4 separate regions of the Mus musculus genome follow, and regions 1, 2 and 3 are each reported to be linked to region 4. The links are microRNA targets in miRTarBase. Many come from high-throughput screens and were not tested one by one. Region 4 holds a microRNA gene; each other region holds the end of a gene's coding sequence.
What was found. The annotated mature microRNA mmu-miR-26a-5p reads UUCAAGUAAUCCAGGAUAGGCU and lies in region 4 at 2,459-2,480, opposite strand. An mRNA with a match to its seed (bases 2 to 7 or 8) in the 3' UTR can be bound and repressed. Matches are read on the target gene's strand: a 7mer-m8 pairs with bases 2 to 8, a 7mer-A1 pairs with bases 2 to 7 and ends in A, and an 8mer does both.

Region 1 (7,119 bases), not on the chromosome of region 4:
GACACTGTGGCTAGGCTGTAGAAGAAATAGCAGGTTCGTTAGGTTAACCCTGAGTTCATAAGGGAGAGGAACTTGTAGGTTCCCATTCTTCCAACCCCAGGGTTTGATGTCTGTGTTTGAGCTCTTTATTTATTCATTGAGCCAGTAATTACTTGTACAATGCCATAAGTATAGACGGGTACTGGGAGTGGGAGGGACAGTGTAGACAGTGGCACTGTGTCCATAGTTCATCTATAGGCTTTTTGTGGTTGTTTCATTTTTCAAGACAACGTTTCATTGTGTAACCCTGGCAAGTCCTGTAACTTACTTTGTTGACCAGGCTGGCCCCAAACTCAAGAGATCGGTCTGCTTCTGCCTTAGTGCTGTAGTCAAAGGTGTGTATGTACCACACACCTGCCTCTCATGGATGGTCTCAGTGTGAAGACAGAGTGGTTTCTGTTGCCCTTTTAAGCATGCCCAAAGGCCCACAGCTCCATGACCTGTCAGCTTTAGTAGGAATCACAGCATTTCTCTTTTAAATGGAATTGTCAGCATTCAGTGTTTTGGTTCTTTTAGATTCTTTGCTTCCAGGTTATATAGCTCAAGGAAGCTGTATTGGCTATTTCAAGTCTGTGTACAGCATGCCCTCTGTATGTTCTAATATGCACTTGTTTTCCTCCTATAGACTTTCTACAAGCATAAGAGAATTACAGAACTTTAAAGCGTTGTTGCAGCACAGGAGGTAATGAAGACTTTTCTATGTCTTCATAGACATAGCAGACTGTATGAAGCCTTTTAGCCTTGGACACTGGGCAAAGAGACTACATGTCTAAGACTTCAAGAATTCTGAACTCTTTAAGAGAAAATTCAAATGTCCACTTGAATATTTATGATCTTTAATAGAATACCAATTAGAGATATTTATAAATGAAGTATATCCTTTAAAATTGTAAGTTATACTAATGCCATGTTTGTTTCACATTTTGTTTGTATTGTATTACTCTGCATTTCTAGTTGTCAAACTTTAAATGACTGTCTATCCTGAGAAGACTATTCAATCTGTTGTAGAAAAAAAGAACCAGGGAACCAGTGTTGCCTAGAGCTGGTCCCAGTGACAGAAATCTATAGCTGGTGTAGTTAGTGTTTTAGACTTGCCTAACACTGTGTGCCATCCTCTGTAATGCAGGGCTGTAACTATAGTGAATAGGCCTTTCAGTGACTAGCGAGAGGTTCTGGATGGCTTCCCAGGGCTTCAACCCTGTTACCATGTTTAGTTGCTGTTGCTGCTGTGGTTTTGGCCTAAAGGGACCTGCCTTGGTGAAGGTGGGTCAGTGCCCTCCCGTGCTCACTTGGCCCGTGTACCCCAGCCTGGCTCAAGAGTAGAGTGTCCTTTACCTAAAGCCTACAGCTCCCCTTCTGGCTTTTCTCTTTGTTCCTCTTCTAATTATAGACATTTTCAGTTGTTTTATGAAAAGCCCTATTTATTTAATGGATTTTTTTCTTCACAAAATTTGAATGGGATCCTATGGGTTTATAATGCTAATTGGATTACACACACATTTTGCTGTTTTAAAGTAAGCATTTTCAATATTTGATTTTGAACACAATCTATGCAATCCTCTACCTCTTTTGTGCGACTGTCTGGTGAGCTGCTTCAGCACGGCTGTCACTTCCTCCCTGTCCCTCCATCTTCAGTTCATCCCGGATCAGCCATCCTTGGTGACTCAAGACAGTGGAGGACTAAAATGGCCCTAAACTGCCATTTTCTAAACCCGGGATTTAAAAAATCTTTAAATATTTTAAATCTTGGTTCTTTTAAAGGTGGCAGTGTATAATGGGATTACTTGAAAGGTTTTTATCTATGCGAGTCCAAAAATCTCGCTTCTCCTTAGATTCTGTCTTTCTGGAGTAAACAGTAAGTGCTCTTAAATCCACATCCTATCTGCCAAAGTCTTTACTGTGTTCCTTGTAACTTCATGGTGTAGGCCAGATTATTAAGTTGGCTCATTCCCCTCTGAATGCCTAGTCTTCCACTACAGAGGTGTGATGAGACCTGAGGCCTCTATGATTATTTCTGCTCCTCATTCCTAATCTTTATAAACTTAATGTTTTGTTGATAGTAGTGAATTTTGTCGGTTGATTACTCTTTTTAAGCTGGCTTGAAGTTTTCTTTTTTCTTTGCTTTTTATTTTTTAAAGAGTTGCAAGTATTGCCATGTGATGGGAACGGGCCACTCTAAGATAAAAAGCCCACCAAGTGAATGCCAGTGACCTTGCCTTGTACACCAGCGGGTTCTGTAGTGCCCATTTAGAATGTAAGGAAAGGTGGAAATTTTGCACTTTGTCTATTTTTATTTTAAATGTGGAGATTGTTTGGAAATGTCACTTATCACCACTGCAGTTAGATGCTATTATTTAAACTATTTGCTTAAGGGGGGAAAAATCTTCATTTCCACTTGCTGAATTTTTCTTAACTATGATTTGTTCCAAGCTTAGGACACACAGTAGTACAGTGTGTTCTAGGAAGTTGAAAGAAATGGTTGTTAGAATGAATTCCTTCAGTAAGGGAAGTATTCTGAAGTTGGTACTCACTGGATTAATTTTTAAATACGTTAGGGTGTGTTGGTGTGTGCACAGCGACATCACCATGACATCTGAGGACTGTGGACTGTGGGACTGTTTGGTGACCCTGATGATGAATCTGTAGGAGGCTATCTGCCGGTTCTGTCACCGGTGCTTGGGGGAAATTCAAGCACTGCTTACATTGTGAGATTGCTTGTGACAAAACACTTGCTGTTTGTCTGTGTCTCATCACCTGCTGTAAAAATCTAGCACTTGACAGCAAGCCTGACTGAAAAGATTGTACCTGGTGCCATAACAATGTGAAGAGGAAGTGTTTTCATTGGTGGCCTGTATATTCCTTTAGTGGCATCCATGTTATACTAAAATGGCCCATGCTCAGTACTCCTCTTGTTTTGGATTATGTGGAGGATCAGCCGAACAACAAGATAATCAATTTTGAAACTTGCCAACTCAGATGTTAGCCCCTGTATTTTGTGTATGAAATGCTGTGCTGTGTCTCTTCGACCCTGCCTAGGTGCCACCATGTGTAAGGAGGGACAACTGTGCTGGTCTTCCTCAGCACTGCTTCTCAGCAGTTTGCAGCCTGAAGTTCCTGCAGGAGCCCTTAGTAGTCACCAAAAGGCTCAGACCAGATACACGCTGTCACGGAAACTCCTTGGTCCAAACCAAGTACATAAATCCACGTGTCCTTTATTTAAAATGACATCTACAGGTGCAGCTTTGAGTTTTCTGAGCAGAATTCCAAATAATTTGCTGTTGTAACCACTGGAGTCTGAACCATGAATTAAAATACATGTTTCTGCAATCTTTTGTTTCTTTGTTTTTCCCCCTCCTCCTTATCAAGGGCTTCTTATGAGACTGTGTTTATAATTTATGGATTGGAGGAAAATAGACTTCTGCATAGTCTGGAGGGGACTCTCCTTGCAGTCATAATGGCAGCCGTTGGCCGTGTGTGCTGAGGACTTTGCATGGAGCGGCACACTAGGTGGTAAGGACAGGTGTTTCCTAAAGCATGAAAACAAATGGGGTCTGAGACTCAGCCAGAGCTTGCTATTCTATTCTAAGCTCAAGGCGTGTAGAGCCTGAGCGAACCACCAGAGCCTGTACTGATAATGTGGACTTAATACCATTCAATCAAAAGGTAGGAACAGTATTCTATGATTTGTATTGAGTCATAGGCTTAAAAAATGCTTGTTTTATTTAACTTTCCAAATAGGTGGTACATTCACATGGTTAAAAAACACAATATACACTAATACCACAATGTCTTCCCAGTTTCCCATAGTGCACACACATGTCCTCTGTCCCTGGCTTTTTGTATTTCCATCCACACACTCCTTTTTTAAAAAAATGCCAACATATATACATATAAAGCCTTATTTCTCTATTTGCTCTTATTTTACTTGGAGTAATACCACATACACACCATCTGCTTTTTATCACCTAATTATTGCAGTAGCCATGTACCACCAGAGAGATAGCCTTTTCACTTTATTGGTTGCTTGGTATCCTTACTATGGCTATGCCAGTATTTAGTTGAGTGGTACCATTCTTGAGCATTTGAGTTGTTTCTAGACCTTGTCCACATATCATGTCACATTTGTATATGTACATTTCTAAGTGTTCAAAGGTGAAAGACCACACACACTTGTAGGCTTGAGAGGTACTGACTTGGACTCTGCCCTCCACAGGGAGGGACTAGCTCAGCTCATGTACATGTGTGCTTGCTCATCCATGGCCTCACCACCAGAGACAGTGTTCAAATGCTAGATTTGGACATTCTGATAGGATGGAAATTTAAAATGTTCATTTTAAAAACTAAATGTATAAAATTAACAACTAACCCTTAATTTGCTTGGTGTTCTTTGTGCACTAGACCCCACCTTTTAGAGGTGTTCTTCAAGCGTGATGGGCTTCAGTCTTCCAATTTGTTACGTGGCTTTGTTTTAATGGTTTTACCATGCTGTGGTATGGTCTCATTTCCTATACCAGTTGTTTGATCCTTTGGATCCTAGTACAAAATACAGGTTAAAGAAACCAACCTAACTTTACATAGGTGTAACCTGTTTGGTCCGGGAACTCTAGCCATTTGTTCCATGACTCCTTTGAGGAATCATGTAGACAGGAAGATCTCTGACACCTCTATGGACCTAGCTCCTTATCTAGGTTATGTTTCCATTTCATCAGTCCATTTTCCTATATGTACCAGTAGACATTGTTTTAATTCAATAATATTGAATATTAGCCCTTGGTCCTCTCCAAGAGACTGGAGTGGAACTTTTGATGGACCTTACAGGCAAGGTTAGTAGACCCTGAGGTCACTTGTGACGTAAGATGCTATCCTACTGTGTGCTCAGCTTTTAAGAAACCGGTGTTAACAGTCACCCTTACTTACCCTTGGGTTTCCCTGTGCCTAGCTGTAATCTCAAGTCCTGTACTCTCCGTGTCTCTGACCAACAGTAATGAATGGGTGTCATTTGCTGAAAACAGCACACACAGAAGTTGAAAGCAATCTCCTAAAGCGAATATCCACCACGAATGTTGAACACAACATTTAAATATTGCTCGATAAACAATAGTGTTTGAGATACTGTTTTCTGGGTCGGTTGGGGTTAATTGGAGTCCGATTTAATAATCCCTTGTAAAACGCTGTTAAAGATTTCTGTTATCCCTCATTCCTTCTCCATGTTATGCTTTCTGGGCTGCTCAATAGAGAACAAAGCCCTTTGTGACAGATGAACACACAGTGGGGATAGATTTACAAGACAGTCTTCAGGCAGGCACAGATTTAGACTCGTGTAACACACAGAGGATGAAGACAGAAGACACAGGGAACATGAAATAGAAAATAAAATCTGAGCTTACTCTTGGTTAAATGACACCAAGGGGAAACGCTTTCTTTCCTTAATGTGTCACCAACACGTTATTGGTGATTTGGAATTTATTATTGTGTTCAAACTGACTACACGCTCTCCTTCCCCTGCCCCATTTTAGTTTTCCTAGATACTATAGATTTTCATGATTCCACGTGAGCTTTGAAAAAACTCCTCCTAGCAATGCAGAACTGTTTTCTGTTGTGGGTCCCTCCTCCCCTCCCTTTCTTTACTTACAGGGTCGTTAGTGTCTCAGACTATCCTCAAAGTCCCTATATAGCCAAGGATGGCCTTGAACTTCTGATTCTTCTCTTTGTCTCCCAACTTCCAAGTGCTGGGACCACAGGTATAAACTGCCAAGCCCACTTTATGCAGTGCGGGGAACTGGACACATGGGCAAGCATTCTACCTACAACTACAATCTTAGATTAAAGGTACTTTTAACCTCTTGAACTTAACTGTTAGAACGTAAAGATCATCTTAGATTTTCTTTTCAGCTACCTTGGGTAGTTCTGAGTTCTTGCTAAATGGGAACATTCATAGAGGTCCAGCACACCACCATGGAGTCAGAGGTCATCTTGTAAGACGAGCTGGCGGGCATGGTGGTGCACGCCTTTAATCCCAGCACTTGGGAGGCAGACAGAGGCAGGCAGATTTCTGAGTTTGAGGCCAGCCTGGTCTACCAAGTGAGTTCCAGGACAGCCAGAGCTACACAGAGAAACCCTGTCTCGAAAAACCACAAAAAAAAAAAAAGAAAAAAAGAGTCCCCTCCATTTATTTGTCCAAAGAGTTAGGTATCTGTTAGAGACTCGCACAGCAGGCCTGAGAAGACCCTGTTTATCTGAATGCATGCACTCTTATGCTTCAGTTAGGGTCTTGAAGGAAGACCATGATCGGCGAGTGACTAGTGGGTGTCAGAGTCATGGGTAACAGTTATGTAAACAAGAGTTGAGAGGGAAGAATTTTGAGGCTCATATGAGCTGAAGAAAGTGAGTCTCTGAACTCCAGTTCTGAGGAGGCTAAAGTTCAGAACATATGCTCCACTCAGGTTATAGAAAATCAGAATTTGAGGGGTGAACCAGATAAGGCTTAGGGGAAAAGAAGACACTAGTAAGCTATCTGCATCCAAACATGGAGGCAGATGAAGGTTTGGGGAGGTAGGTGTGGATCCTATAGGCATTTGGATTCAATGAGTCCATATTGAACACAGAACCTACCCAGGGCAAGAATGAAGCAAAGGCATAAGAAGTGTAATCGTTTGGGACATAGGGATGGCCACAGCAGGGATCAGGTATTTTGTTCCATTGGGAGAGGGTTTTTCATGTGTCCTGCCAGGAGCGGAGAGGAAGTTTATGTGCGATTCTCTTAGTGTGGTCTCAGATCCAAACTCATGACAACTTCCCAGTCTAACAGAGGCACCCAGTAGACTAAATTCCATTGTCTGTCTTCACAGTTCCATTTTAAAAGTTTTCTCACTTCAATTGTCCTATTTATTTAGTCTTTGATGAGAACTCTGATTTGAGCCTGCTCCTTTTCCTAACAGCTCTCCCATCTGGATCCACCAGAAGCTGTGGATAAAGTAAACCGCATACTGATGTGTTTCTGCATCAGTCTGTTGTTTAAATTGCTGTCTGATAAGAGTGAAAACAGGATTCTTTTTCTACAATAATTGGCTAAACTTGTAA
Region 2 (7,119 bases), not on the chromosome of region 4:
TTAGCCCAGCCCAGGCCATCCAGGGTCAAAGGATAAGGAGAGTGTCTGCAGACACCTAACTGTCATATGGAGCAAATGTCCTACATGCTTCCAGATAGGTGAAACTGAGCCAGGGCCAAGTTTCCAACATCTCTGGGGTAAGGACTCAAGCCACTGTAACAGCCACATGAACAGAGGTGAAGGTTCCATTCAACGCTGACTTTGTTGCGTTGGTTCTGGAAGTGTGCAGAAAGGTCAGGATCCAGTCTACTCTTCTCCCAGCCACGCAAAGTAATAATCATTAAAAAGCTTTCATAACTACGACAAGGGCCATCTGGAAGGCAGCCCTGCCTTTGAAGTAGTCTGTTTGCCCAGTACACTGAAGGACACCATGTTCTACACTGCTGGCACAAGAATTTAAACTATTCACGAGTGGGGAGATGTCTCTGTCAGGAGACGTCCTGCTGCCCAAGCATGAGGGCCTGAGCTCATATCCCCAGCACCCACGTAAAAGCCAGGCATAGGGGTGCATGTCTGTAATCCTTGGTAGAGGAGTGGGTAAAGTTGGGTAGAGGCAGCTGATCCTGGGAAGGTCAGTGCCCAGCCAACCTCACAAAATGAGCGATCTGCAAGCTGCAGGGTTAGTGAGAAACTGATAGTAGAGATAGACCAAAAAAGATTCCTGTGAATGGCCTTTGGGCCTCCACATGCATGTGCACACATGTGCCCTTGTTCATGCACACACACGCACACACCACACACACACAAACACGACACATAAATATTTTTTACAAAGTTATTTAAGGTCAGAAGGAAGGAACATGCAGAAACCAAAAATAGCAAGCGAGGAACGGTCTCAGGGATCTGGCCTAGCAGCTCAAGGCCTGTCATGGAGCCTACCCCTCCAAGTCCAAGTGGGTACCTTCAGTACCCACCAGCAGCGCATGGGTTAGGCCCCTGGCCATGAACTCACATGTGGAGAGGTCCCCTGCTAGCCTTGCTTACCCTCACATTGCAGACTGTGACTCCCCCGATGTCTCACCCAATGTTCTTTATATTTTATTGAAGTTCCCTGCTGTGGATTTATTCCTTTGTACCTAATAAACTTTAATAAGTGAGAATGCGTGTGGTTGTTTCCCTGTGAAAACTCATCTGTGATCCCCAGTACTGATCTAAGCCTTTTTGATTGACGTGTGATGAATACACATGTTTCTGGGATATGGTGTGAGGCTGTGGTACGGGAATACAGTGTGTAACAGTCAGGCTTTAAGTACTAAGGCACATTTTTAAAAAATCAGAAACGCTTAAACATAGGACAGTGATTTTCTGGAACACCAGGAATAGCACCTTTTAAACTACATTTTTATTTATGTGTATGATTATATATGTATAGGCCATGTGTTCAGGTGCCTATAGAGGCTAGAAGAGGGTGTCAGATCCCCTGGAGCTAGAGTGACAGGTGGTTGTGAGTTTCCAAACACCCTTGTCGGGAACTGAACTTGAGTCCTCTGGCCCTATTCTGCCCTGTCCCAGAGCATTGTGTCTACTTGCCTCTCTTTACCAACAAAAAGGGGCTTCCCAGAGCATCAAAGGTCAGTTTTGACATCAGTCTTTGTAATGGCTAGAACTAAACCATGCAGCTGTGTGTCTCCTGGCCTGCACTTGCCTACCTTACTTGGCTCATCACTGGGTACCCAGGCACCAAGCTCAGTCTGGTTGAAGCAGCGTTCCTTTCTCTCTAGGTCTGTGTCCAAGTCTCCCATCTCTGCTGATGAAATAAGTCTTGTCCCCAAAGCATTAAAAGTTATCACTGTGCCATCCCTCTAGCCCTTGGAACACCAAAAATGCTAGTGTGTGTGTGTGTGTGTGTGTGTGTGTGTGTGTGTGTGTGCCTTCCATACACATTTTTAAAATAGAAAACAACATACTTACCAGTTTTATTACTATAGTATGGGTCAAGAATGTTGCCTCTAAATTCTGCCAATGTATTGAAATGAGAAAAGTTTAATTTTTAAGTATTTATTTTGTAGTCCTAGGGATTGACTATACATAAGCCCTAGGGCCTTATATATATAGGCAAGATCTCTACCACCAAGGAAAGCTCCAACCTAAAACCCTAGTCTCTCCCCTGCAACTCAGCAAGCCCTTTAAAAAAGCCTCCTCTGTCAAGCAGGGGCCGCTCCCCTCCACAGCTATGTTTCTAGTGGACACGGAAGCCTGGGAAAAAAGGAAGATGAAGTTTATGGTGGGGGAGGGGAGCTTGGAGGGGCAGGGCACTGGGACTAGAGTCGAAAGGCAAACCAGGATATGAACCTATTGAGTTTTGGGGATTAAATTACTTAGGTGTGTCTCAGTTTCTCCATCAGGCAAATCAGGAGGTAAATGCATAGCTAGGATGTAAAGTGATAAAGACACACTGTCAAGCTCTGAACACTTGGGTCCTGCAGCTAAGTAAGGGCACACTCTGGAAAGCAAAAGGGCTGTGTATTTGAGCCTTCTAAATATTTCATGTAAACAGATATGTGTGTGTATGTCTTTTTATGACATTCATTTTGTCCAACGCAATGTTGATACAGATTGTATGTAGCATGTGTCAGAATTGCCTTCTTTTAAGGGTGAGTAGTACTCCATTGCCTTGATATACCACATTCTGTATCCATCCATCCATCCATCCATCTATCCATCCATCTATAGGTAAGTAATAAAATAAGCTAGGAAGCTGACTGAACAGGCATCTTTCTGGGCCTTGATTTCAAATCTTTTGGTACATACCAGGTGACAGAATTCCTGGGTCACGTGGCAGTTTATGAGAAAGTCTCCATAGTTTACAATGGACAGCCACCTTTCTTTCTGCCAGCAATGCCTGATGTTTCCAGCACCCCACACTGCGGCCGCTGTTCTCACAGCTGCTGTTCTGACAGAGTGGCATATGGCTATAGTTTGGGGTGTTTTCATTGTTATTGGAGACAGGGTTTCTCATTGTAGACCAGGCTGTCCTCGAACTCAGAGATCCGTCTGCTTCTCTGCCTCCCAAGTACTGGGATTAGAAGGGTACCCCACCACACCCAGCTGGGCTTCATTTTTAAACAGCGAATTTGTCTTTGTAGAGATGCATAGTGTAGGGCCCTCAAGAGGTGGTTGAGTTTTCTAAAGATTCCAACCGGAAAATCCCAGTCCCTCATACGTGTGTGCTGTGACTGGTGCCGACTGTGTCCATGAGACACAAACAAGAGGCTCCTAGGTATTGACTTCCATGTTTTTATTGTACACTTGGTGCATTTAAAGACACTCCGAGGGCAAGCACTGGATAGAGACATCGTTTGATTTGTAGATATCTGTACAAAAGGCTGTTAAGACCACATGTTCAGTCCTCCCCCCACAGGAAACAAAGGTTTTCTGTTATACTGCTTCAGCTATGACATTTCAGTTCGCACACGTGATTAGAGACACGTCCTTATTGATTCCTGCAAGAATTCTCTGCATGACAGTTCAGGATGGTTGGCTTCAGTCAGTAAAAACACGTGTGACACACACCACAGGACAGGAGTTGGGGCTCAGCGCCATGTAGAATGAAATGCCGCGGCTGCGGGAGGCATGGGAGAGCCAGGATGCTCGAGCAATGCCTGCCACACCTCTCCCACCATGGTGTGCTTTCTCCCAAGGCTGAACTCTCAGCTGAAATTAGTTGTGATACAAGAACTCAAGTCAGTAATTTCAAGACACGCACACCTGGCTGCCCTGAGGTCCTTCCAGAGTAGCATCACCTGCGTCAATGTTCGATGACAGTAATTTTGTGGTGACAGTTATTTTCACAGCTACTGATTCATCTAAGAGTAAGGGAGCGTCACCACCGAGCTCTACTAGGCGTACAGCTGCTTCATCAGCTTGTGAGGCCGACTCCTACAGACACTGGAGCTTGTGTTGGGCTAAGTCTCCACAGCGTTTATCAGATGCTTAGCTAGCGTTCAGGCATCCCAAGAATGAGCAAAGACTATTTCCACTTTACTACCTTACGTAGACACTCGGGTGTCTGCCCCCAGCTAGGCTGCCATTTTCATTTACTGCAAATCTCATCTCCACAACACTAGCTAGCTTAGGTTAGGTTCTGTGGGACAGGTGAGACAGGCAGTCCATCCTTCATGATCGTGACTTATTTCTGCCCAAAGTGTGCTCAGGATCCCCTGCCCTCAGGCTTAATAGACATAGGGTGGTCTTCTGGGAAGTTATTTACTGATCGATCTTAAACATTCCCGAAGATCTATTTTTCTGCATGCTGTTCATAAAAGTGACCCCTGATTGAGAAATTACCCATGTCAGAAGTGTTTCTTCAAAGGGAAATCTGTTACATGAATTTTAAAACAAATATTCTCCTAAGTCTGCTTACTCAAAATCCAGTATTATTTCTGCTGTTAGTTTGGCTAAACTCACTAAAGTACGTGCGGGCACCTCGGCAGATTCCCTACTGTCCTCTTGTCTGCCCCCATCCATCCCAGTAAGCAAAGCTTTCATAGCTGGGCTCCTTATCCATTGCCGGAGGAGAAAACCCTTAGAGGGCTGCTGTGCCCTCTGGTGGTAAGATGACAACATGGTTGAGCTGTCCAATGCTCCTAAGAGGATTGGCCTTTCTCCGTGATGCTGGACTACAGTCAATAATAAAAACAACCACTGGGTTTTCTAGTGCACACCTGCATAATAGCGTCACAGCCATCTTCAACCTTGGCCAAAGTAATGAAGAAGGTCGCTGTGTCGTTTGCTACCATTAGACCTCTGATCAAACCCCAAATTACCTGGGTTGTCTCAGGCAGGTCAGATCTGATGAGCTGGCCTCAGAGGTGGAGGGCAGACCACACAGGGAAAGCACAGCACGGCTTTCTGCACCACCTTCCTTAAAGAGCTCAGCAGATGAGGCTGGGACAGGCAACTACTTCCTCCTCAAACCTTGTTCTTTTTCCCCTTTGCACCTGCTGGGCACTTTCAGCTTAGCTGCTCTACCTGTGTCCCTCTGTCCATCAGCAAGAGATACCAGTTTGTCATGAGTTTGTCCCATCTCTTGTGTTTTGCCATTTGTTTATACATGGAACCCACAAACCAATCAAGGAAAGAGCTCACAGTAGACATTCTCTCTCTCTCTCTCTCTCTCTCTCTCTCTCTCTCTCTCTCTCTCTCTCTCGGGTTGGAAGAGAAACAAGATTTGTCCCCCCAAAAAAACCTGTAGCCTGAATCACATTGTGAAATGAGGGCTCAGGTCCCTGCCAGCCCTAAGCCATGCTTGAGATCACTGGTGGACAGTTTCTGTTTGCTCAGCCCTGTCAAGAGTGAGGACCTATAATTAGGCCCCGCAGCACATGCTCTCTAGCCTCTCCTCTAGTCTACACTTCTGTCAGTCATCTTTACGCCTGGCCCTTCAGTCGTGCAGAGTGGCAGTGGATAGGCACCTATACCTCTTTCCTGTTCCAGACAGCATCCAAAGGAATCTGTTGGGCAGTGGGGTGTGAGAACAAAGTGGAGGAGATCCTGGAGGTCAGGTACTCAGCACACTGATGTGGGATCTAGTTAACGAGGCAGTGGGTGGGACGAGGGAGACTGTTCTGTGGATAAATGTCTCACTGCCTTCTGCCCTCAGCCCGCCCTGTCTTCCTCACACACTCCTGTGGCGTCAAATCCTTTGTGCAAACACACGGATGCTGGAAACAAATGAGTTTAATTTCAGGCTCTGCTGAGACCAGGGCTGCTCAGATTCCAGGTACATTAGCTATGCTCTCAGCAGTCAAGAGCGACCCTTTCCTTTCCCTCTTTGGCTGAGATTTGCAGCTGTGTGTGGCTGTATGCCAGGGCCATTTAATGAATCTCATACAAGTTGCTGACAATCAAATCCCAATCAATTTCCACACAGGGCCAGGTCCTCAGGTGGGAGCACTGTGGATGAGGAACTGTGGCTAACATGGATGCCCAGCTCTCCTCCAGGCGGAAGCAGGTCTGCTCCACTGCACATGAGCACAGCTCACAGAAGACAGGTCTTTCAAAAATCGCATACACCAGAGCAGAGCTGGGACTGTACCAGTCCTCTGTTCCTTCCCAGGACATTGTGGGGACTATGAGCTACATACAGGCCTGTGCTCTGTGGCAGGAAGCTGGGGGGCTCTCCCCCATCCACACACAAAAGCCTTTGGTATGAACAAAAGCCTTTTGTTAACCCTAAAGAAACCACTATCTAGAGAGGGACCAGGCCCTTCACAGCTCTTGTCTTTCCCACCAGCGTGGCCCTGCAGCCCTGTCCAAGGCGGAGGGAACTCAAGTTCCTCATAAGAAGCTAAGGTGTCCATTGTCACTGAAATATAAGAACATCTTCAAGCCCATAGCTTATCACACAATGGAGCAAGAGGCAAATGGGATCGCGTTACATAGCAAAGGGGGGAGGGTTGCTAAGCTGAACAGAGGGAACATTTAGACACAAGGAGGCCACATGGTAACTCTCGGTTTACTCACACAGAAGAGTGTTTATCTGCTGGTAATTTAGTCGGGTGGGAAGTTTTGAGTAAGGGTGAGGGTGCTTACATCACTTAAAGAACTTCATCTCGGTGTCCACACAGTCATAGAATAGGTCCCCCACCTCGGCGGGGTCCGGGGGCTCGGGGCTGCTCAGAATCTCGTCCATGGCCTCCAGGCCTTGCTTCTCCAACTCCAGCATGGTCTTCCTCAGGGTGCGACCTTGCTCCTGAGGAAAGGACACAGCCGTGCAGAATGGTCATGGCAGTGGATAGTGACAGCCCGGGATCCCGCTGGCTTCCTGGCCTCCATCCCATCCCCCCCACCTCCACTGATCCAAACCGCCACCACCATGGGGGCCGATTTAGAATATGGTTACAGCACCAGCCTGCTCAGAAACACTTGCACGGCCACCAGCTGTCCGAAATCAGAATAAATCCTGACTACCGAGTGTCAGTCGAGATGCACTGGCCTCTTGCCTTGTGTATCTATCCCTTCAGCCATATGCATGGCTATCCTCTGTGATATTCTCTCCCCATGGCTCAGGTGACTCTGTCCCCTGGAGGCTCTTTCCACCCTCAGCACTGTGCCAACTTGTGCCCCATCTTCAGAGCTCTGTGGGAGGTCCTTCCTCCAGAATGACATAGCTTCTCT
Region 3 (7,119 bases), not on the chromosome of region 4:
TGGAGTCACAGCTCAAGGTCAGCAGCATTGTCACAAAGCCCAGCTCCTTCCATTGTCCCTTGTCTTGCTATTATCGCGCGTGGGTCGATCATTAACGCATGCAGTCCTCATTTAAACCGGGTAGCTGAGTGATCCTAAAAACATTCTGGAGTCACCTGTACACTTGTCTGTCTTTTTCTTTTCTGCACTAGGAATTGAACCCAAGCCCTGGTGCTTTCTGATGGCTTAGTGGTGAGCCTGAGCCTCAGTCCCAACCCAAGCGCTTATATAGTTATCTTGAGTAGTTATCTAAACAAAATTATCCATGTTGGATATAGTATGCATGTCTTTAATCCCAGCACATTGGAGGCAGAGGCAGGTGGATCTTTCTGAGTTCTAGGCCAACCTGGTTGACATTGCTAGCGAGAGGCCAGACAAGGCTCCATAGTGAGACCCTGCCTCAAAACAGCAACAACAAAGTCGGGGGGGGGGGGTTACTTAACATTTTGTGTGTGTGATGTGTGTGCTGCAGAGCCCGTGTGGAGGTCAGAGGACAGCCTTTAGAGTTAAATCTTTCCCCCTTCCTTCATGTGGGCTCTGGGGCTGGAACTCAGGTTGCCAGGTTTGTACCACAAACACCTTGGCCTGCTAAGCCATCTCACCAGCCCTTACCCAGGGGCTTTACTTTTTCAGGGGGATTTGAATGGGAGTTCAGGAGAGCTGATGCCAAAGGCAGAAATCACAGAGGACAGGGACCATGTTCTGTCCCTTCCGGCTGGGCAGTGGCTGTTGCTACCCAACACCCCCAGTCTTCCGCACCTGTTTATTAATGCCTGCTCCGACCACTGGGTTTTTTTTATGTATATGAGTATTTTGCATGTGTGTGTGTGTGTGTGTGTGTGTGTGTGTGTGTGTGTGCACTCTGTAAGTACACACCTAGTACTTATAGAGGCCAGAAGAAGGCACCAAATCCCCTGGAAGTGGAGTTGCAGCTGGTTGTGAGTCACCCCGTGGGTGCTCTTAGCTGCTGAGGTGTCTCTCTGGCCCCATCAACCACTGCTTTTACGCAAGCTCTTCCCCGAACATTCCTCAGTTTCCCAGTGTGTAGGTGTCTTAGTCACTGTTCTATTGCTGTGAAGAGATACTATGACAAGGCAATTCTTGTAAAAGAAAGCATTTAATGGCCAAGAGTGGTGGCGCACGCCTTTAATCCCAGCACCCGGGAAGCAGAAGCAGGAGGATTTCTGAGTTTGGGGCCAGTCTGGTCTACAAAGTGAGTTCCAGGACAGCCAGGGCTACACAGAGAAACCCTGTCTTGAAAAACCAAAAAAAAAAAAAAAAAAAAAAAAAAAAAAAAAAAAAAAAAGCATGTACTGGGGCTCACAGAAGTTGTTTCGGAGTCGGAGGCTTAGTCTATTATCATGGCAGAGGGCAGCTGTGGTGCTGGAGAAGGAACTGAGTTATAATATTTTTCGAGACAGGGCTTCTCCGTATAGCCCTGGCTGTCCTGGAACTCACTCTGTAGACCAGGCTGGCCTCAAACTCAGAGATCTGCCTGCCTCTGCCTCCTAAATGCTGGGATTAAAGGCATGCGCCACCACTCCCTGGCCCACTGAATTACAATCTTGATCCACAAGGGGAGGAAGGGAGGGAGAGAGAGGGGAAGTGGGGGGAGGAGAGAGAGAGAGAGAGAGAGAAGAGGGAGGCAGACAGATGCTGGACCATAACAACATTTCCAGCCCACCCCCTGCCCCCAATCAAGTCTCTGTAGGATTAGGTGTGTTCTCTCTCCTTGAGGCTAGACCAGGTGGCCCTGTTGGGGACCCACATAGAGACTGAGCTACATATGTTCCGGGGTGGGGGTGGGGGTGCTTTGGTCCAGCCTGCATAGGCTCTTTTGTTGGCTCAGACTGAGAGCTCCCAAGGGTCCAGGTTAATTGATTCTGTTGTCCTATCCCCTTCAGGGCCTTTAACCCTCCCACCCCCAACTCCACCGTAAGAGTCTATGGGGCCATTCTTTTTTTTTTTTTTTTTTTTTTGATGGGGGGAGGGTTCGAGACAGGGTTTCTCTGTATAGCCCTGGCTGTCCTGGAACTCACTTTGTAGACCAGGCTGGCCTTGAACTCAGAGATCTGCCTGCCTCTGCCTCCCAAGTGCTGGGACTAAAGGTGTGCACCACCCCCCCTCCCGCATATATTCAGTTTTAACAAGCAAGCAAATGAATAATCTAGCATCTCTATGCGTGTTGGCAAAGCCTGGGAATTGGACCATGTGAGGGCAAATAAGGGTCTCGTGGGGGTGCAGATCCTGTAAGCCATTCACTCTGGATCTTGCTTACACCCGCCATCTTTCAACTTCTATCTGAGCATCTGCATACAGTAGGCACTGGAAGCTTTTCTTGTTCATTCACCATCGGGTCATAATTCTCTGGGTAAAGAAAGTTTAAAAAAGACAACTTTCTTTAAAAAGTATTTTATTAATGTGAGTGTTTTGCCTCATGTCTGTACTCCATGTACCAGCCTGGTACCTATGGAGGTCAGAAGAGGGCACTGGATCTCCTGGGACTGGACTTAAAAACCGCTGGGAGCCACCATGTGCTCTTCTGCAAGAACAACAGGTGCTTTAAACCTCTGAGCCATCTCACCAGCCCTTTAAAAAGCCTTTTTTAAAAACAGGATTTATTTTATTCTAGGGCATGCTTTTGCCCGTGTATATGCATGGGCACCATGCGTGCAGGCTTGGTTCTGGAGGAGGTGACAGACATCAGTGTATCTGATCCCTTCTAACTGGAGTTAAGGATGGTTGTGATGTGGGTGCTGGGAACCAAACCTGAGTCTTCTGTAAGAGCAGCAGATGCTCTTAACTGCTGAGACATCTCTGAGTGTGTACCTTTAAGAATACTGTCAATCTATTTCTTTCACCTGCTTTCCTGGTACATGACCTTCTCCAAGCTATGGTCCATAGCGCCCTCTGGTGGTTGCTACCTGACAACACGAGGAACAGTTTCTGCTCAGGGTTCTTCAGGGACCAAACCTTCAAGCACTGCTCATTTCACTGTGAACGAAGGCCTAAAGAGGGTAGGAGTTGCACAAGATCTCACTGTAGATGTTTTAATCATGGTTCTACAGATGCTAAACAGCCCAGAAACACTTTGGCAAACAGGTTATTTGTGGCTAATGCGTGAGCTCTGTTTGCCCTCTGGAACTCTTTCTGGTCTAGTCTAGAAGGCTGAATGCCGAGTTCACCCCTGTGTTCCTCCAGACCTGAGCCCCTTTCTGTCTCGTGGCCTTTGCAGGGGCTGCTCTCTGCCCTCTTCTTGGCTTGGTCTGTCAGCCCTGAGGAGCATTTCTTGACAGTTTCACGATGGTTTCACCCCAGTTTCTAAGACAGCCAGCTTAGCTCTCCTTCTCAGCCCTTTGTAACTGCAGTCACCCTTGTTCTGGCCTGCCTTCCCCTGTAGAAATGGCAGCACCTCGATTCCATTCAGTACCCTGCAGGACATCTGGACGCTGGGCAGGCACTCAGTCTTCTGAGGACATGGACAGAAAGGCAGGTGACAAGGGACATGCCAGACACTGCTTTAGAGAAAGTCTGGAGGTTTATTGAACAACCACAGTCACAACTGAACAGGATAAGTCATTCCTTACAAGGCTCTCTCTTCCAGGAGAGGTGGGTGGTCTTGGGATCCGCCCCTCCCCCGCCCCCAGAACCCTGTCTCAGTGCCCAGCTTCCCTGCCTGCAGCCCCTGGACTCCCTGTCAGAGCTGAGTGGACCGCGTTAAGATCTTGAAACCTGGGATGTAGCTACCACTCTCACCTAATGGTGGCAGCAGGGCCCTGGCTCAGCATCAAAACCTTGAACCAAAATATGAGTAGGATTTGCCGGAGAAAGCCTCAGCGGCAAGTGCTGATGAATTCAGGGTGGAATTGCACTCTTTGTTCCTTTCACACTGCCTGACTTTAGACAAACAGGCTGCCCTGAGCACTGGATGCAGACAGTCTCCTCTGTGAGAAGTAGGGACTGCTGAAGCGAGGGGTCCACGCAGGGAGGAGCGTGACAGGAAGGACTGAAGGGGAGTCATGATGCTGACTTTGGAGATCCACTAGGCCGCCCATCAGAGCAGCTCACTGCCGCAACGCAAGATCTATCATTGCTGGCTGCTTTTAAAGCCAGAAGCTCTAGTTGGCAGGGCAGGGTAAGACAGCCTGCCTGCCACACAATGGCCTCATGGCAAGGACACTGCATTCCAAAATGTTTCTGGAATCTCCGGGGCGGAGGGGAGGCCGCCTTTCTAACCACATCTTGTTTTTGTAGTCTTAGCCTCTGAATAAAGCTTTGGAGGAAGAGGCCAGCCGCCCGGCCTGCTGCGTGGGCTGTGGCACAGGCCCATCAGCAGAGTAGAAACCTGACTCTTCAGGACAAGGATTTCCACACCTGAAGCCCAAACAAGGTGGGGATTAAGTATCTGCAGCCAGCCACCAAGCCAACCTGGTTCTTCCTGTGACACACCTCCTCAAGTCTTAGGCTCTAAGGTCAGAGTTCAGCAGTCACAAATGCTGAGGTGCGCTCAGAGGAAGTGACTGCTGGAGAAGGGGACGGAACCAGATGAGGATGGAATGAATCGGGCGAGCAAGGGAGCGAGTGAGGCTAGGGATGGCTTGCGGCAGCATCTGCCTTAACCACCCTAACCACCTGCTCGGCATCCGCTGGAAACCCAGCTGCTCAGCTCGCCCCTGATAGTGAGGTTCAGGCAGAGCACTTCTGGGCTTGTCAGGTCTCTAGAGCTGTCCTGTCTCAGGGAGGGCCGCACAAATAGGCAGTTGTCCCTGCTGTGGGGGCCTCTGGGTCTCAGGTTCTGCTCTGCACTTTCTGCTTGAAGTCAGACGTAAAGACACTCATTGGGCTCATAGGACCCGAATAAGTGTCCCTTCTCCACGCTCCCCTGTCTGTCTGTCTGTCTGTCTAGCAAGGCACTAGTAAGTGGTTCAAGTTTAGGGAATCAGCTGCTCGGCTGCATTTTCTCTTTGTAAAAGGCACGGTTTTTATTGAAACAAGGCCGCATTGCTCTCTGAGGACTCAACTCCCCTTGGCTGCAACACGCATCCCTGCTGGATTCTGGACACCCACCCACTCCCCTTTTTGACTCCTTCCCAGCCGGCCACTTGTCAGACAGAGTGCTCATATGGAAAAGGGCACTAGAAATCCACAAGTGAGCTGTGACAGCACAGGGGCTACGTGGAGGTGGTTCTACAGCACCAACCCGACGAGCCTGGGGACCCGATGACCCCGATCCCAGCATCTCTAAGGCAGAGCTCTGGCCTCAGGACCATGTCTCAGTTACTTCACTGGCAAGTGACCAGCTCCTTGGAGGGTGAGTTCATGTTTGAGACATGGGGCTAAAGGTGATGTCCTCACACCTCACGAGGCTGTGGCTGTGACGGCATTGGGTTGGACCGAAGCTTCTGGTGCCCTACCGCCTCTGCTTGGGTCAGGGGTTGCCTGACACCTGGCTGCTTGCGTTATATGCCCACACGTGCCATGGCTCATCTATGCTTTCAACAGAACCACAGAACTTTCCAGAAACTCCAGGGTTCTGTGAGGTTGGAACCACAGCAGTCATTATCTGGGGGAAGCCACCCCCCAGGAGACTCTGGAGGTGATCCCTCACAGCACCGGTTCCTCTCCAAGGCAGGGAGCCGCCAAGGAAAAGCACGGAGAAAGGGCTTTGGAAGCATTGGCTGGGAGCTGTTCGGTCTGGAGGTCTACTTAGCCGGCTGAACTAGCCCTGACGACCTGGTGCCCAGGTAGCCCTGAAACTAGAACGGGCATCTGAAATACCCAGAGAGCCAGGGGAGACATCCTTTACATCTGGCTGCAGAGGAAGGGGCCCCTCGCCTGGTTGCTGGCCAGTGCTAGCTATGGAGCACTCGGAAGTCCCAATGGCCTCTCATTGCCCTGGACCAACACAGAAGCTGGGCAATTCTAGCAGTTCCCTCAAGAACAGGCAGACTTCCTTGCCAGCAGCTGGCACACAGGTTTAAGCTGTCCCAAGGCCGATACCACCTTCCTTTCTAGGGCACTGTCCTGTCTGCAAGGGCAACCTCATGGCTCAAGGCTGCCCAGGCGATTCCTAACACTTAGGGAACATGCTGACAGGCTGGTGAGCTCTGCTATGATGTGAGCAGGCTCCGCCTTCTTGGAGAGCCATTGGTATGGTCTGTTCTCCCCGTGGCCCCACCATGTCAGTCCTTCAAGAACCCAGCACCTTGGTGCCCACCGATGCCTCTTCTCCCACAGGAGGAAGGTTTATGAGCTCCACAGGAACCTGAGGGGTTTGTCAAGGTCTAAGGACTCAGTTCTTGTTGAAATTCTCTAAGACCGTCGAGTTGGTGTGTTCAAAGAGCCACTGCTGGGTGAGGGAGGAGGGATTGCAGGTGTTCATGAAGACCCTGTGGTCACTCTCGCTGCAGTCCATGCAGCTGCCGCTCACAGGGTGGTACAGCGTCTTGTCCTACAGAACAGGAAGGTTGTCAGTGGGGGAACACAGGAGCCATGACAGCAACAAGGAAGCAAGGCCCAGCGTCTCCTGTCACCTCATGATGAATGCTCCTTCTTTTTTTGTTTGTTTTCGAGACAGGGTTTCTCTGTGTAGCCCTGGCTGTCCTGGAACTCACTCTGGAGACCAGGCTGGCCTCGAACTCAGAAATCCGCCTGCCTCTGCCTCCCAAGTGCTGGGATTAAAGGCGTGCACCACCACTGCCCAGCTTGAATGCACTTCTAAGTGGGACCTTCAGCACGGCCTGCTTCTAACCAGAGTACTACTGCGTCCCTGCTGCACGGAATGCGTGAGAGCACGCTTCCTCCTTCCCCCTTCCTTCCTTTCTCTCTCTCCCTTTCTTTTTTCTTTCTCTCCTTTTGTTTCAGAGTCTTGCTATGCAACTAGGACTGACCTAGAGCTGTATGTAAACCAGGCTGGCCTCCATCTCACCGAGAGCTGCCTGCCTCTTCCTTCCTAGTGCTGGCATCTAAGATGGACACCACCATACCCCAGCATGGCTTCCTTTTTAAAATGCATGAGTCTGGGTTCCTGTCCTGTCTCTCAGGGCCAGGTCACTGGCAGAGCAGGATGAGTGGGCAGGA
Region 4 (7,119 bases):
AGTGAGGGCTCAATGAACGTCTGCTTGATGGGAATCTGGGGCTGTGCTGAGCCGTTCACATGGGCCATTTCATTTAATGAACTCTAACAGGCAGATGGAATTATCCCCAATTAGACAAGAAGAAACCAATGTGCCAGAGGTAAAGGAATTTACCAGAAACCATTCAGCTCCCAAGGCTATCAGAACTCCCAACATTCTGTGCCTGCCAGTGACACTTGACACCTGCCTCTTAACTTGTTCCTCCCTGAAACCTGTGGCCATCAAACACGGGGACACAGGGACTCTAAAATCTGGCTGCTCTTCAATGCGTGAGGGAGACTCCCCCACACCTGCATCCATCCACAGTCACAATGGACGGGTCTTGTGGTTTTGTCTGTGGATAACTGGTTTCAGGTGGCTGCATAAAGCAACTTCATGGAGCATTTGTTCCAAATGCTCCCAGTCACCATGGTAACCAGAAACCTCTCAGCCTAGCAGTGTGCACATGGCCTGCATCTATCGCATCTGGGGTGGGAACCTGTCACCGTAAAAATAGCTTCCTCCACCTTAACAAAGGGCTCTTGGCAGCTTGGGGGGTGTGGTGGAGGGTGGAGAGGTTGGGATGACGGCTGGGAACAGGACGCAGGATGCAGGACACAGGATGCAGGACGAAAAGGACGCACCTTGGCCAAGCTGGCAGTAAAGAGCACACACTCAAAGAGCTGCCCCATCCTCTGGAGGAACTCGTCCACGTGAGGTCGCTTCAGCACATACACCTGCGGTGGGAGGAGACAAGAGCTGTCAGTCATAGCATCCAGGGACAGCGTGGGCCTTGGAAGAACTGCCAAGGGGCCCTTCTCCTGTTGCCAGGCCTATGTACGATTTACTGAAGCTTGCACTAGGTTCTGCGTCTCAACCCTTGTAGAGAGAAAGGAAAGCCGACCACGTCGTCAAGGTTCTTGAGTATCTTCGGAGCCAGTAAGCAGAGCACAGCTGTGCCATGTCCAGTCGCAGTTGCTCATGCATCCACTTGGCACTTGCTGAGTCAGCCCCTATGTGGCCACAGGCCACAGCCTAGGTGCTGTCCTTCTGGAAGTCTAGGACTAGCTGCGGCCTCCAACTCTGAACATCCCTGCCCCCTGGGGTTAATGCACTTGAAAACTTTCTAGTGGACACCATGGAGGTCACCCTGCTTGTGTAGGGGTACAGAAAGCACTTCACATGGGTAAGGGGCTGCTTCCCACAGTTGGGCTCTGTGTATCCTTCTGATCAGACCAGACAGGCCTGCGAAGCAGCTGGTTTCACCTAACACCCAGGCTGCAGTCTCTGGAGGCTAAAGGAATGTGTAGGAACTGGAAGAGAGAAAGCAAAGCCAGGGAGAGGCAGTGGGCAGAGGGAGGGACCAATTAAAACTTGAGTAAATTCCACTAGAAGTTAGCTACATCTTTAAAATAAAACATAATTACCAGGTCTCAGCGCTGTGCTCAGTTCAGCTACAAGGCTGAATTGGAGCCCCCAATCCTCTGGAGACTCGTGTGGTGGGCCTTGCCGGCTCAGCTCACTCAGTCTTGAGCACACACTGACAGAAATTAGTGAACACAAGAAATCTCACAGTGGGGTATTCATTCAAGATAATTCTCCCTTCCAGAGGGCGTCTCAGAAAGCAACATCTGGCCTTGACCTTGAATAAAGAGGAGCTCACACGCTGAGAGAGAGAGAGAGCTGAGCCTCCAACCCGAGCAAAGTGTGAACGTGAGGATCGGAAGCGTCACAACACTTGGGTTTGTGTTGGGCCAAAGCCTGTGTCCACAGCCAACCATAGGCAGTGAGAGAAGCCCTGGAGGCTGCTCAGGGAGGAAGCAGTTAAGGTAAAGAGCTAAAGGTAGCAGTAAGCCACAGGGCCTCTAAGGGCAGACAGAGCAGGGGAGGGGGCTGCGGAAAGGGAGAGGAGACACAAGACTGCACCCCATGCAAGGAAAACACACTGCAGGACAGACTTCCTAGATGGAAACACTGCTTTGCAGCATGCCAGGAAAAGGCGCTTCCTAGGGCAAAGACCTGGAGAGAAAGCGGCTGGCTAGCTTTAGGAGTGGGTTGGGGGTCTGGCTCTGCAGCTGAGGGTGGAGAGAGGGGCCAGAGGAATATAGGTGGTCTATCCTGGGTGCCACCAGGATCCTGCTGAGCTGGGGTGTTGGGCTAGGCTGAGGGCAGAGCTGTGTGGCTGTAGCAGCTGCAGGACCTGCTTTGCTCATAACACTCGTTGTTGCTGGTGCCAGTGACTGGGTGTGGCCTCCGGTCCTGAGTCTCCGGGAGGACTGCTTGGCCAGCAAGCTTGGCTACAGGCAAAGGGTTGGAGATGGACGGGGGAAACTCTGTTGTTGCCGCCTTTAGCAGAAAGGAGGTTCCTGGGCCCAGATGCCGGCGTCCAGGCCCGCGTCCCCGTGCAAGTAACCAAGAATAGGCCCCTTGGGACCTGCACAGCCTATCCTGGATTACTTGAACGAGGCCACGGCCTTCGCCAGGGCCTCGGTCCTCCAGCTTTTGTACCTTCCTTCTCTCTGGAGTTTCTGCTCCCAGCCCTGATGCCCGGGGTGTCTACTGCCAAAGAGAAGGGGCAAGGGAAGCCGGGGTGGGTCCTGCACTCCGGACGTGCTTGTGGCCACGTGGTGTGAAGAATTATTTTCTTGGGCAGTCCTCCTGAGCCTCACCTCAAGGACTCTTCGACTTTAGACACAACAACCAGCGCAGAGGTCCTAACTGCATGGCGGGGGTGGAGTTAATTCAGTTGGTGCTTTGTGAATGGTAAGTGACCAGGTGCCTGAAACCTTCCCAGGTCCTATGTCCTGTAGGACAGGATAGAGAGCTAGGTGGGGGTAAGGGAGACAGGGGGAACCAAGTCTAAGGAAAGAGCCCTGGCTTAGGAGTCAGGAAATCTTATCCTGATGATTGTCATATATAACCTTCTGTCTGGGCAACGGAATGGCTAAAACAGCTGATTTCACAGCCCTGGATTGTTCTAAACTGCACTCAAGAGTTAAGGAGCCTTATTGGCATCGTTAAGAAATGACATCCTGTGTGGCCCAGGAACCAGGAAATGTCTGTCCCTTCCTGGGATATGAGGCCAGATACTCTCCCCTTAAGGCCTTGAGTTTGATGGGGGAGACAGTCTGTCCCATCACTCCTAAGAAACATGTGGCAAAACTATATCTACCTTAACCTCCAAGGCGAGCTTTTCTACCATGTTTCTAATGTATTCATAGACGAAGTCATTTCCAGAAGAGCTTGCTGATGACGAAGAAAAAATAAAGAAGAAGCAACTCCCCCAAACAAACAAACAAACAAACAACCCCAAAACAGAAAACCCCAAAAACCGGAAGAAGATTGATGCCAGCTGACGATGACAATTTATGCACAGCACCCTGCTGGTCTTAACACACCCTTCCCCTTTGCTCTGGGTTGAGTATTTGCTAAAAAAGACACTGGAGAAAACCACATGGGCAGAGAAGCTCTCACGGGAGCAGTTGGCATCAAAGTGGACATTTTTCCCAAGAATGCTCCGTCAGTGGGTGACTGGTGGCATTTTCCTGTTGCTAGGAGAAGCCAAAAGCAAATGCATGATGAAGTTGACCAGATGTCAAACCCGGCCAGCGGTGGGGACAACTAGGGGATTGCACAAAGGCTCCTAAAAGTTGAAATCAAATCAGAGATCATACCTAATATTTATTAACAGAAAAGGGTCCTCATAAACACGGTAAAAAGCAAATGCATGCATGAGGCAGAGAATCATTCACAGTATTTTTATTTAGCTTTTGAGACAGGGTTTCTCTGTGTAGCCCTGGCTGTACAAGGACTCGCTTTGTGGACCAGGCTGTCCTCAGACTCAAGAGATCTGCCTGCCTCTGCCTCCATGCCTGGCTTACTATACTTATTATACAAAGTTTGTTTCCTGAAGTTAGAATAAAATGGCCACTGAAGTGAGAATTGAAAAAATGATGTTCCCAGGGAGTGTGGTTACAAGAAAATGCTCTCTGGAACTGCAGGCTAACTCTGGTTCCTTACCTGGTGTATGGTTCCGTCGATTTCAACAGGAACAATGAAGTCAGCATTACTAATGGGCTAGAGAGAAAAGAAATTGTGATTAATACATATGAAAGGAAAGAGAAAATTGGAAATTGTAGCAAGAAAGAAGCTTGCCTGGACCAATGTTTTGACGATGGCAGGAAATAGTTCACAAGGATGCTGGCAGAGGCCTTGGGTCCTTGAAATAAACATGTAGGAAGGAGTATTTCTTCCTGTCCTGAGTGTCCTGGAGTTCCAGCATCTAGCCCAATCTCTTGGACACCTGCCTGCCTCAACTGCAAAGGGTGGCATAGTCTGGCAAGAGAATGGGGCTGCTCAGACTCCAGCCTGGAGCCCAGACAGGATGGGGGACGGGGGGACGGGGACGGACCACTGATGGCCACCAGGGGGCAGAGATGAATGCCTGCTGGCCAGTTGTCACTACCACTGGAAAAGCAATTTGTCCTTGGACTCAGAGTGTGGGCAGCTTGGCACAGGATGCTCAGAGGACAGAGCCACAGCAGGCGGAAAGCCAGATGCCACAGGCGAATATCCTGGGTAGACATTCCCCTCTGGACTTCAGCATCTGCTCCTCAACTGTTATGGTGGTGGGTGCGATGGGTCCCCACGGCTCCATCAGGCCTCAGGCCCTGCCTGGTGGCCTGGCCTGGTTTCCTACTCTGGGATTGGAGGACGGCCAGCCTAACTGCTCTGTTCTAAGAAACACAAGACAGCTTACCTACAACTTCACAGGCATTTAACCTAACCCTTGGTTAGTATTAAACACATTTGAAAAATAAAATATTACCTCAGCAGTCACAGTCATTGAACAACGGGCTCATAAGCAGTTCTAAATGGAATCCCACACGTTAGAAAACTTAACGGAGAGGCTCAAAAGAACTGTCACCCTGCAGACGTTAGGGAAAGAGCGACTTGGGCATATGGTGGCCACCGGGTGGTGAAGGACATGCAGAACCTTTGGTCAGACTGTAAACCGGGTCTACATCTAAGCCCCTCAGTGCACCACACATTTCCCTTGACGTATACACTGAAAACTGTGGACTGCGGTAGACTAGACCCGCGACTAAATGCTCAGATGCGGGAGCGCTACTTAAGCCCGAAGTTAATGTTTCCAGGACAGGAAGGCGAGGGACGAATTCAAAATTTCATAATGTTACCACCGAAATATAGAATTACGAAAATCAGAGAAAACAACTGAAGAAGAAGTTGTCAAAGGCTTTGGGTTGTGAAATCCCTCTGCACGGGGTGAAGTAAGAGAGGAGAAATGGCTCCTAGCTTCCAAGTGTGGTCGTGAACTCCCACGCACTGCGTGATGATACCACCCTGAAGCCGGAGCTTTTCCCGACTCCACGAACTCGGGAGTCACACGTGAGAGGGGTTCACGGTGGACACATCCCCAAGAGACTTTGAAATGCTCAGAAAACATTAAATATCATGAGGAACATTCCACTTGCAAAAGCAGCCTGGTCCAAGCCCACAAGATGGCTCAGCAAGGAGACATAGCTCAGTGCTACACAGGGCCTGGTGACATGCGTTGATCTCTGGAACCCACGGTGCGAGGAGAGACCGGGCTCCTAAACGTGTAGTGTGACCTCTACACACATGCTGTGTCACCCACACATCCACACTCAGTGCAAAAATAGAAAAATAAAACAAAGTAAAAGATAATTTTAAAAAGTAGTGAGGCCAGAGAAGAAATGAGGGAGTTTTATTTACAGCTTGGGGAGGCCATGCCCTCTGGTCAGAGACACCAGTGCTGCCAAGGCCTGGCCTTGGAGCCAGGAACCCTTGGTAATCTTGGGCAGCTTGTCCGCAGCTGCTTGGGAGGGCACTCTCTATGCTGCGACAGAAGCTGACCCCTGCTCTGAAAGGCTTGATGCCCCCAGTTGCTTGTTTCACAGAAGGGAAATGTTGCAATGTCATTTAGAACCAAGCTTGCACTCCAGGCCACTGTGGCCCCAGGAACACAATCCTGGAAGAGCCAGGCCCTTGGAATGCTGGGTAATGAGGTGGTCCTACAAGCCTCAGCAGCTAGAACGAGGTCCTTTCTCACTGCTAGGTTATCTATATTCCCAAGCCCTTAAAGATGGCCTCCTGGCCTCGTGCTGAGCCTTCGTTGAGAAGATGCGAGGTAAATCTAATGATTCTTCTGCCTGATGACCTGCCAGAAATGACAAGGGCTCACGCTGAGACACTCATCATGGGTGGAGCCAGTTGCATCTCTCAGCGAAGTAAGAGGCATCCCAAGGCAGTGGGGCATGAGGAACATATTGAGACTGACCAGGGTAGAATAGTTTTATTGACAGGGAATAGTCCAGAAAGATGAGAACCAAGCTCGTATGCCCCCTGCTTCTCCCCAACACACCACTCACCCACATGTGCCAGCATTTGTCTCTTCTAAACAACTCTACTTGTTTGGAGCGGTGAATTAACAATGTAGCCACTGCCGCTCCCTCCCGAATGAGATGGAGCAGGGATAGAGATCAGAAAGCCCCTGACTTTCATTTTCACATAGTTTAACCACAGCTCCGCACCCACTGGGATGGGCTGTGAAGGTGAGCGCTCTGTCAGCTGTGAGGGCACAAGAAAACCCAGCATGAGAATGATCAGAATGGACGCCCAGGCCACTCGGATGCTTAACTCTGGAAGGCGTCCTTCCAGTTGGACATTGTTCAAAAATTGATCTGGGATCATTCCCAGGACAGCAGGGCTACCAGACAGTTTCCCACATTACCCACCATTGTTCAAAAATTGATCTGGGAACATTCCCAGGACAGCAGGGCTACCAGACAGTTTTCAACATTACCCACCCGGTGCACCACCCAACAAAATGCACAATGCTCCAGTTCCTTCAACAAACGTCACATCCTGGTGCCCTGATTGCCTGTGCCACTTGAACCTAAAAGCATTTCTACAGGGCTTAGAGTGGGGAAGCCCAGATCTCAAGGAAACGGTGAGATCTCAGAGACACTGGCAGCCCAGCCAATGGGCTTCCTCAAGCCAGTGACTTAATAATCAATTATTGCAGCCCATATTCACCTGGGTAACAGGATAGGTCTA

Region 1: miRTarBase lists Ero1b as a target of mmu-miR-26a-5p. Seed matches in the 3' UTR shown: 7mer-A1 at 857-863 and 8mer at 1,821-1,828.
Region 2: miRTarBase lists Scrn1 as a target of mmu-miR-26a-5p. The part of its 3' UTR that is shown has no 7-base or 8-base seed match.
Region 3: the mRNA of Galnt10 is a reported target of mmu-miR-26a-5p. Seed matches in the 3' UTR shown: 7mer-A1 at 4,964-4,970.

The regions. Positions count from the first base shown.
Region 1 is chr13:12,606,163-12,613,281 of GRCm38, forward strand. Ero1b (endoplasmic reticulum oxidoreductase 1 beta) reads left to right here. Exons shown (of 16, transcript NM_026184.2): 16 at 665-3,366. The coding sequence ends at 725. Among named protein-coding and RNA genes, the nearest start is that of Ero1b, 44 kb to the left of the region's middle.
Region 2 is chr6:54,502,669-54,509,787 of GRCm38, forward strand. It overlaps Scrn1 (secernin 1), which reads right to left. Exons shown (of 8, transcript NM_027268.2): 8 at 6,148-6,694. The coding sequence ends at 6,536. Wipf3 (WAS/WASL interacting protein family, member 3) reads left to right here. Exons shown (of 9, transcript NM_001167860.2): 9 at 1-1,100. Among named protein-coding and RNA genes, the nearest start is that of Gm52863, 6.2 kb to the right of the region's middle.
Region 3 is chr11:57,783,941-57,791,059 of GRCm38, reverse strand. Galnt10 (polypeptide N-acetylgalactosaminyltransferase 10) reads right to left here. Exons shown (of 12, transcript NM_134189.2): 12 at 3,559-6,490. The coding sequence ends at 6,332. Among named protein-coding and RNA genes, the nearest start is that of 2010001A14Rik, 14 kb to the left of the region's middle.
Region 4 is chr9:119,027,172-119,034,290 of GRCm38, reverse strand. It overlaps Mir26a-1 (microRNA 26a-1), which reads right to left and starts at 2,495; the gene lies at 2,406-2,495. Ctdspl (CTD (carboxy-terminal domain, RNA polymerase II, polypeptide A) small phosphatase-like) reads right to left here. Exons shown (of 8, transcript NM_133710.3): 5 at 4,039-4,095; 6 at 663-755.